Linked DNA regions of Drosophila melanogaster. The protein of the gene in region 1 purifies or fractionates together with the protein of each later gene. This does not show direct contact. Each region holds a gene or a part of one and is shown on either strand. Other genes may lie near its edges. The genes, in order: apolpp and Fas1.

What was found.
Region 2: the proteins of apolpp (region 1) and Fas1 fractionate together in Drosophila melanogaster (co-fractionation; one study listed by BioGRID). This does not show direct contact.

The regions. Positions count from the first base shown.
Region 1 is NC_004353.4:1,059,131-1,064,252, reverse strand, and holds the start of apolpp (apolipophorin), read right to left. Parts: upstream 3,285-5,122; 5' UTR 3,117-3,284; intron 1,576-3,116; exon of another isoform or gene 1,334-1,575; intron 9-1,333; exon of another isoform or gene 1-8. Other genes in the region: Zyx (zyxin), read left to right, coding at 3,649-3,840, 4,417-4,834, 4,902-5,122. UniProt on the Drosophila melanogaster protein: Constitutes the major component of lipophorin, which mediates transport for various types of lipids in hemolymph. Acts by forming lipoprotein particles that bind lipoproteins and lipids.
Region 2 is NT_033777.3:16,623,184-16,628,250, forward strand, and holds the start of Fas1 (fasciclin 1), read left to right. Parts: upstream 1-2,054; 5' UTR 2,055-2,159; intron 2,160-2,785; 5' UTR 2,786-2,928; coding exon 2,929-3,033; intron 3,034-5,067. Other genes in the region: Ccdc114 (Coiled-coil domain containing protein 114), read right to left, coding at 1-146, 220-728, 859-1,154, 1,213-1,437. UniProt on the Drosophila melanogaster protein: Neural cell adhesion molecule.

The DNA.
Region 1 (5,122 bases):
TCGATTTGGTAAGAAATCCTGCTCAAGTTTATATATATATATATATACTTTACAGGGTCGTTTATGCTTGCTTCTAAACTTGGTTGTTTTGGGTGACCACCCCCTTCTGGCCATCCTACCAGACCTATTATACCCAATTAAGCATTTTAATTTACACTTCACCGCATTTTCTGGCAAGCCATATGTTACCAAAACCACCCACAGTCTCCATTAAAAATGTAACTTAAAAGCAAATATTGTTCGAATCACTCTATTACTTTAGTAGTACAAAATCCTTTCATCTACCTTTTCAATATTTTAAATATGGCTTTGGGCTAATAAAGTAATAAACAAATCGCAAATTACGTTTTCCTCTTAAAGGTGTTGAAAACTGTAAGAAATGCAAAGTATAATTGTGATTATAAATGTTGAAAACTGATATTTATATACTTGACAGTCTCAAAAGTGTGTAAACTTGGAATTTGTTGTTTATTTTCTTGTATAATTAATATTTTTAATTCGTTTTTTGATTCATAAGTAAAATAAATATTGATTAATTATATTTTAGAAAAAAATTGCGTTTAATTTAAGCAAAGAACCCTTAGTTTTTACCTTTAAAGTCAAAAATTCAACTTATTTCACAGTGTGTAAACAGTTTCTTGACAAACTGTATGTGCAAATAAGAAAACTAGTTGTAACTCTAAAGCAATTATGTTTTATGTATAGGTATTGAGAAATTCGATGTAACAATTGTTATCATTCCAAATTTAATGTGAATGCGCAAGTACACACATACATACATACATATATGCATTTGCAGAGATTGTCACTTGCAATCCATGTTTGCACACATCTGTAATGGAATTTGTTATACATTTTTATGCCCTTTTTTCATATAGATGAAAGTATGCTTACAAATGCAAGCATAGGTACATAGGTATTTAAAATATGCATACACATATTTACACATGTATATTTATTTGATTTTGAACAGATGTATAAAATATGTTTATATGAAAGTTCGTTCCTGAATTGCAGTTAACGACTGATAAGAAACTTTAATCTGTAATTAAAAGTTGCTGGAAAGCAAAACGCTGCTCGATAAGCACGCAGAAAGGCAGCCTGCGTGATCGGACAGAAAAAATTACAGTTCGAAAGAAGTTTACTCTTGTATTGTTCCCGGTTAGTAAATAAATCATCGTAAACGGAAGTCCACGCTTTGAAGATGATCACTAATAGTGCGTTGTGACAGCAGGAGACCACTGTTTAGAAGCGTAGAATAGGATGTCAGTTACGATTGTCTGATTACAACCATTTAAATCTTTTTTCTTTAACCATTAAAAAGTTAGATTACCGTGCCCACATTTTCTGAAAAGATTCCGCTGATGAATTGAGCTCTATGGCCGTACATATGTGAAGTGATTCCAAGTCAGCTTCCTTTTAAAAGTGCACCTTTCATGATAGATTTCCCATATTTAGGGTTTTTATACCACTTGACTAAAAAGGTATTTGATTAATTAATAATTATTTTGGCTCCTAATTATGTGGCTCCTTAGAAATCGGTCATTCCCCTATCCTTTACAATACTCCTCCACCGAGCTTAATTTCGCTTCGATTGGGCCAAACAATTAGACGATTGGGTGTGGTGTTCAAAAATATGGATATCGTTATGGTACTTATTTACAAGCAACTGTGGTTTGCAATCATTTTTATATTAACGAGGAACTTTATTCAATGAAATTAATATTTATATTCAGACCTCCACGGTATTTAATGTGAATTTCTTACATGAAGATAAGAAGAGAACAGAATTTTCTTCTTGAATATGAAGTAATATGACTTCGCATTTACATTTACATTTATTAGCAAATTAGCTGAACCAAATATCACGAAAAAATAAATTGAAAGAGCCGCACCAGATTTAATTTATTTTAAAATTCCTTTGTCTGGGAGAAGAACAAAAATGCAATTTCGGATGATGTTGAAACGAGATTTATTTCATAAAGTTAACTTATAAATATTTTTAATAACAGTGGTCGAGTGAGCGAATTTATCGGAAGCCACCTACATGACAGCCATTTGTTTTGTTTGGGCCCAAAGGAAATATTATAAAAATTTGAGTTAAAAATTTGTTCAGGGGTTTATCAATTATTGATCAGTTTCTGGAAAGCGGTGGAGTCGATATCGCCGTTCATCGTCTGTTTTGCCATCCGTTCGCTTCTACACAAACTTGTCTCACTAATTATCCCTGAATGAAACTTTCCCATAAAGTTTTCCAGTGACAGCTATAGTCAAGTTCCCCGACAGTCAGATATCCCTTACTCGACAAACGGAAGAGCAAAATATTTCCTTATTTATCGGCATTTCGATAAAAAATTAAAAAAAAAAATATTAATAAATAAATCGAAATATATCATAAATGTATTCGTGACGGATTGGAAAGGTGGCGTTGGGGTACATCGCTAGGCAAAATAAATTATATAATCCATGCAAATAAAATTATTCCTCAAAAGTGTGTGGGCGTGGGAGTTTTCGGAGGGTTTGTGGGGCGTGGCCAAAATGTTATTGGTTAACCGATAGAAATTAGAAAAATATATAATAAAAAAAACAAATATTTTTGAAAGGTATGGGTGTAGCAATTTTGTGCGGTTTGTACATCTGCGTTAGAGCGGGCATGAAAGCAAACTGGCTCTGCGCGTATGTCTCTGCAGTACGCATTCTTAATCTTAACTTTTTAGCTTATAGTTCCTGAGATCTATACGCTTACAGGGAAGGTCATACAGACTGACACTTTGAGACACATCTTATATAAGAGTGCACGTGTCCGATTGTTCGTTGGAGTGACTATACCTGCTAAAATAAACAAAATGTACACGTTACCCACTTGGGATTAGTTCGATTCTAGGACTTAGGTTAGAGGTGGAGAAACATCGATGTTGGTGGACATCGATGTTTTTGGCGAATTTTTCGTTGATATTTTAAGATTTATAAATAAAAATACATAACAATATTGTTTCAACGCACGGTTTAATGTTTATGTAATAATTAAAGTCCTTTGGCATGAATTTGTTCACACTCTATTCATTTATTCTATCGTACTAAAGTAGTCTCAATCAAACAATTAGTTCTCTCAATACCTTACATTGACTTATAGTCCGCCTATAATCAGATTAGGATTATTTTCTTTGATTGCCAAGGTGCCGTTTAGGCAAAACTACATATATATGTTTTATATGGATTTAGCTTCAATATCTCGCTTAAGTGTGTCTATGGTCTTATTAGCTTTCGAGATATAAAGCGATTGTACGAAGTGAGTACTACATATTTAATAAGTTCGAATACGAGCCTATGCGCCTAGAATGATTTTCTAGCTCTCGTGTTAAGGTCACACTGCTGGGCCTCATAAATTCGATAAGCGATAGTTTTATTTCCACTTAGTATTGAAATGTCAATAATTTTATAAAAATAATTGTTTTATACATATAGTAAAATTATATGCAGGTTAAAAACAAACCAAACTATCATCATTACAGGTGTAATTTCATTAATGTTAAGGAGTGAAAATATTAAATTAAAATTTCACGACTTTGAATGTTTGATTTAATTTAAATTAGAAAAAGGTTTTTATTATTGTTGTAGGAAAACGGAATCGCGTTTTGTTAAATTTCAATGGAGTCTGTGGCCCAGCAACTTAGAGAGCTGTCGCTTCCAAAAGGTGACACAGGCTCACCGCTTGTATGTATTGGACATGGAAAAGTTGCGAAGCTAGTCGCCAAGATAAGTAATAATCAAAATGCATCAGTAAAGAGGAGATTGGATATACCTCCTAAGCCGCCGATAAAATATAATGAAATGCCTCAGGTACATACATACTTTAGTATAGCCAGTTTGTGTTATATACAAAGCAATTCATTGATTCTCCTCAAAGGCTTGTTCTTTAAGCCTTAAAGTCCGTTATTGTACCGTTTTAGAGGGTATTTCCGTCCCTCTACAAAAGCATATGTAATATACTTATATATTATTGATCGGCTGGACTGTGAGCGAACATTTGCTACCATTCAGATGACAGAAATCAAAAACAAGTACAGACTAATGGATTGTTACACGACATATCAGGAGCAATTCATTAAAAAAAACATAATCAATTTTTAAGTAAATATTGTTTTAAGTATACATATGTAAATTTAGGGGATATTCTTAACTGTACCAGTACCTAAATATCTATCGCATGCCTTTTTCACTTCGGTAAAAACCAAACTGTGCAAACTGTGGCAATATTTAGAACTTTGCACAGCGTACAAAGTCATTAAAATCTGCATGTCACATCTTAGTTTTTATTTATAATACCCTTATTATACCCTGTATTATAAAAAGTTATTATTCTGAAAAACTGTGTATAATAACGTATACTTAAGCATAAATATTTATTTATTTCAGGTTCCATCAAGCAGACAGGTTTTGTGTTCGCGGGAACCACTATATTCACAACCTCTGATTGGAGTCGAGAAAACAATGAGGGGGCATATGCCTTTTAGAAAATACCTCAGCTCTGAATTCGGAGTTGCTGATACTCAAATAAACAGAAAAACAACTTTAGATAATCCGGCAATTTTGGAACAGCAATTAGAAGCTCTTGCTTACCATAAACTTCAAATGGAAAAAAAGGGTCTTTTGGGAGTACAAGCTAAGCCAACACAACCTCTCAACAGCTTTACAAAGCCCCTTTCAAAGACTTTAAGCAAAAGCTTAATATATTCTAATTTAGGTTCTGTTCGCAAAGAAATAGAAACATTAGAACTATTAACAGACGAAACTAAGATTTCTGCGAGTACATATTCAAACGTTAATGAAACTGGTATGTTTATGTAATGCTTATATAAAAATTGTATAGTATTAATTATAAAATAATTTAAATGTCAAAGCAATGGACTCTTCTCATAGCTCAACGCAAAAGATGCTATCCGTCTGCACTAATTTTATTTCAGACAACGAAAAAGATGAGTTACCGCCACCACCTAGTCCAGAGAGCGCTGTGAGTTCTTCATACAGTGAGCTTCGTCACGCCACTTTGGAATTCAACAAACCAATTGATTATTTACAAAATAACCAGACAACGAATCCTTTACAAATATATGCAAACCAA
Region 2 (5,067 bases), on another chromosome or scaffold:
CTGTTCTAATCTGATGCTCAGGGTTCGCTTCCTTTCTCTGGTCTCCTCCGCCAGCTGCTCGATCCGCTCCTTCTCGGCATTTAGATAGTCAAGTGCCTCGGTCTTAAGCTTCAACTCCTTCTCGGTCTGCTCCGATTTCTGGCGCTCTGTTTGGATTATTATGTACAAATTTTAGTATAAAGACTAGTCTATAGCCTAATTCAGAATCCAACAACACACCTATTTCATCTTGGAGCTCCTGAGTGGAATCGTTGAGTACTTCAACCTCGTGACTCAGTTCGTTTACATAGTTGAAAAGGGCAAAGTTCTCGTCCTCCTGACGCTTGAACTGGGCCACCAGTCGGTCCGCGTCCTCCTCGCCGTAGAGCAACTTGATCTTCTCGATGATCTCCTTGTACTCCAGAAGCTGCCTCTCGTAGGTCTCCTTCTGACTCTGCTTCTTGTCCAGCTCGCGCTGCTCCAGCTCCGGATTGAGGCGCTTTTGTCCCTTGATGTCGAAGAACTTCTGCAACTTGGCGTCGTGCTCCAGGCGGCGCTGCATCTCGCGCATCTCCTGGATGTGCATTACCTTGTCGTTCTCGTTGCGATCCTTTAGGACGGTCAGCTTGTTGCACAGCTCTTCTCTCTGGTCGAAAGCCAGTGTCGACTGGTCTATGAGATCCATGATGAACTTCTTGCCCTCGTTAAACTGGGTTACCATCGACTGCCACATGTCATTGAAGTTTGCCCTGGAGTGGAGTCGAAACGCATTAGCTCAATTCGGTATAAAAACCTAATAATATGGAGAGCACCTAGTTGACTTTTCATAAACCTAGTGTGTATTTTATAGATTGTATATATCTAGCGAGAAATGCTCACCGATCCTGCAACATGTGGTTTATGGCGTCCCTCATCTTGCTGTTTTCAGTGAGCACATCGCTGCATTTTTTGTTGACGACATCCAGGCGGTTCTCCAACTTGACCACGCTCTTCTGCACCTTGCAGATGGTGTCCTTGTAGCAGTTGTCGGGCACTTCGTTGCGCCGCAGGGCATCAATCTCCTTTTCCATTTTCCGGATGTGGCCCTCCAGTTCCCAGAGATTGGTTCGCTCATTCTGGAGCACCCTCTGCAAATCCGCCTGCTGTTCCTGCAAAGTGCCCAGGTGCTTCTCTCTCTGAAACCGATGTAAACCTTTTATATGTGGCTGACTAGTCCATTAAGTGGATATCTACATTGGTGTTCTTTCGCGCATGAGTACCACCTTCTAGAGTCTTGATCTCCTCCTTCAGCTTCTGGTGCTCCACTTGCAGTACGTTGATCATGTGATTCTGCTTCTTCAGGCGCTTGGCCTTCTCCTCGAGGAGACCCCGAAGGTCCAGCTGGAGACCCCGATGCTGGCGTTGCAGCCTCTGCAGCTCGGCAGTTGCCAACTGATCCAGCTCGCTTTGGTCAGTCATCGTTATTGGCTTTCTGAATTCGGTCTTTGCAATGGTATTGTCAAAACTGATAATGATATTAATTTGATTTCAATAGCAAACAAGCGTTGCTGGTGGCAAGTTGCTTAGTAACGGCGTGGTTTATCGAAGACTTTTACCATTTACTTAAAGTAAGAAGAACCAAATAGGTACACTGCTTGTTAAAATTCAATGTTATCTCCTTAGAAAAGTAAAAAAATAAGTGCTTGAAAATTATAACCGGTTCAATTTGGAATAAAATCTTTCAAACAGTAGAGACTCTGCTTAGCGGAGTTATCCACCGCATTCTGTCGTTGCCACATTTTGCGAAACGGTTAAAATGATTATTTATGCTTTTAAACGAAAAATGAGAAAATTTAAAGCAGTCTTCTTGTAATAATAATAAGATTGGATAAACAGACATTATTATAAATCTGACACAGAAGAGCAACGCAGCGCTCGATTTGTACTAATATTTTACCTCTAACAAGATTCGGAAAAGCATAAAAAGCACATAAATAAGAGTCACCGCCAAAGACATGCACAAATAAATATAAATGTTAAGCGATTTATTAACAGTGCACAGTGTTGCGATTTGAAACATCGACAGCTATCGATAACACTCGTTATCGTCACCACACGCTCGGCTTAAACCTGTTCTCCGCTTTTCGTTTTAATTCGAAAAAAACGTTCGAGCGTGGCGCACGTTGCGATTCCTCCGACTGGTACTTGCTCCCCTTATATTGAAACTCTGTGGAAAATCTATACTGTGCATAGGGCATAACTCTAAAATAGCTGCACGGCCCATTTCGCTGCCCTTGCTATTGATTTACCACCGCGCTGCGTTCGTTTGTGTGTGCTACTTAAAGAATTTGTGTGTTTTCCAAGTTTGGTCCGTGGACATTGCATAATTTCTGCGGCGGCCGTTAATGTTAATTCCTGCAGCCCGAGTTTCCGAGAATTACGCAGAATAAAGACCAGAGAGAAAACTATAAAATCGAAAACAGAAAAAAGTGCCGCAGCAGCGAAATGCAAAGGCGCATAATAATTAAACACACAGCGACGGAATGAAGAAAAAATAATACACAATAAGCGCAGCTTTGTTTCTAGTTAAATTGCGTTTGTGTTGTGCTTGCCGATTCCTCGGTGGTCCGTTTTTCGCTTGTTGTTCTATGTGACATAACGGAACTCTGGGCAAAAGCGAACAGGAAGCAGCGATAACCTTGCAAAAACAAAGAAAATACCAAGGAGGACAAAAAGCATGCCAAGCATATATCTGTGAAATAATATTTTCTTTTCCGAGGAAATGCTGTTTGTCGTCGGCTAACTGTTGTTTGCCTTTGAATTGCAGATCTTAATCGTAGAGCAGCACTCACACCAGCACACGCCCCCCGCAAAACAGCACACACAGCCACACTCACAAACGACGTACACTGCCAGCGCATAAACAAGTGCTGTTGTGGTTGTTGTTGCTGCTGCTGCTCGTCCGCTAAAATGCTGAACGCTGCAGCGCTGCTTTTGGCGCTGCTCTGCGCCGCGAACGCAGCCGCCGCCGCCGATTTGGCGGACAAATTGCGCGATGATTCGGAACTCTCTCAGGTGAGTCAGAAGAAGAAGAAGAAGCGAATAACGAGAACGTGGAGGATGAGGAGGTGAAAGGAGGTGGTAGAGTAAGAGCACGAAGAAAAGCAGTAGCAGCAGAAACAGTTGGTGCAAATAACCGAAACACTTGTCCGTAGTCAATTAAGCCCCCAGCACCACCCACCAAACGTCGCCCCCCCTCCCCCCGCTCACCCTTGGGTACAGTAGGGATTGCCTGCCATGAACATTAGTAATCCTTTTCTATCTTTGCAACCGATTAAATTAATGCGAAGAGTTACACTTCGAATATTTGTCAAAAGTATGTTTGTTTAGGTATCCGTACGCGCAACATGTAAAATTTGAACACATTCAGGGGCTTTTATTAGTCTAATATATCATTTCGTTGGAAAAGTATTTCTTAACTGCCTACATTTTATACAGTAATCAGTCGCATTTTTTCTGTAGCCAGGGAAACTGCCAAAATTAAAATAACTTTTGTGTGAGCAAAAAACAAACTATTTTTAGCAGACATTTATGCGTTTAAATAATTTTTTCAGCCTTTTGAATATGTTTCATATATTTCTGTGATGCCTTAATTTCTTCTCATGGTCGGATACCTTATTGCAATGATAAAATCAATTTTTTATTATGCCTGACTTGGCTTTGGCGAAGTCAATAAATTTACCTTGCCACCTAATAGTGGCAACTTATCAAAGTTCGGCTGTAATTGTGCCACCACCCACAAGACGCCGCCCCAATTCGTTGGCCTTGAAAGGAAAAGCCTTGGTGGAGTGTGCGAGGAGGCGGGGCAGATCGGGCGGGAAAAAGGAGCCTGCGCAAGAGGGACGCACCCGCATTTGGGCACAGGTAGCGTAGCCTTCGTTCCGGCAGCATCGTCCTTGACCTTTAGCCATCTCACTTGTTGTTGGACTGCGGAAAATCGATGATGCTGCCTAAAATCCCTGGCGGCAGTTCAGGTCCAGCCGACCGCTAAGCTCCACTTGGCCACATTTCGTATGCATGGCGGAGTTCGTTATGTAAAAATGAAAAGCCACATAAATTAAGCCCAGGTCTGCTGAATTGGCTCTCCCCAGCAAAAGGCAAATGGTAGAAAAAACGCCGGCCGTTGACGTCCACTGCGCATAACAGTTTTATATTTAGTTTTGCCTTTTTACACCTTCACAGGCCAACTCACATACAAAGTACATAGAAAACAAAAACACATTAATGTGTAAAAAACTCAGAAGCCAACAAAGGTGCGCGGCTGAAATAACAAGAACAACATGTGTAATGAATTCAAAGGCGGGGGTTCAGTCACCAGAAGGGGTATTAGCATTACACCAGGAGAAATATATATATATTTTTTTAATATGTTAAGGTTTATGGTAGCCCATTAAGCCACATAACTTATACTCAAAAAATAGAATTGATTTGAGTGGAAAATAGTAACATAGTTCGTCTATTGTAATTGCTTTTATCTTATATAGTAGGTGAAGTAGTAGTTGAATACGCGTTTTTAAGTAACTGACTTGAGTCCCTGCTTAATTTTCTAGTCTGCCTTAACACTGCATTTAACACCCGAAATACACGCTGCTTCAAAAGTAAATTAGACTTCCAAGTAAAAAGAAAGCGTGTGACAGACTGTAATTGTTGCAGCAAGTGTCTCAGGGAAGTAGTTGCATCCACACAGAAAAGGCAACCTTTTCGAGTTACAATAGGCGAAACAGAGCGTACAACTAAAAAAAATTAAAAACAAGAAGGGGGACTCGGCTTGCTCACTTGCACCCTTGCTTTAGGGCATTGTAACTTTGCCCAGAAGTTTGCCACTTTCGGAGCAAAGCATTTCCGGCCTCATATCTGGAGTACTGCTATACATGAGGGTGGGACCATTTGGTCGCCATAAAAAAGTAAGGGCGGAAAGTAATCTTCTGGCATTTATGCAAATTAAGTGCCGTAAAACTAATGGATCAAAAAGTCAGGCTTGGGAAATCCCTTTTAAAGTTACTTCTTAAGACTATGAAATAATCATTTTATTAATAATATGTCGTATTG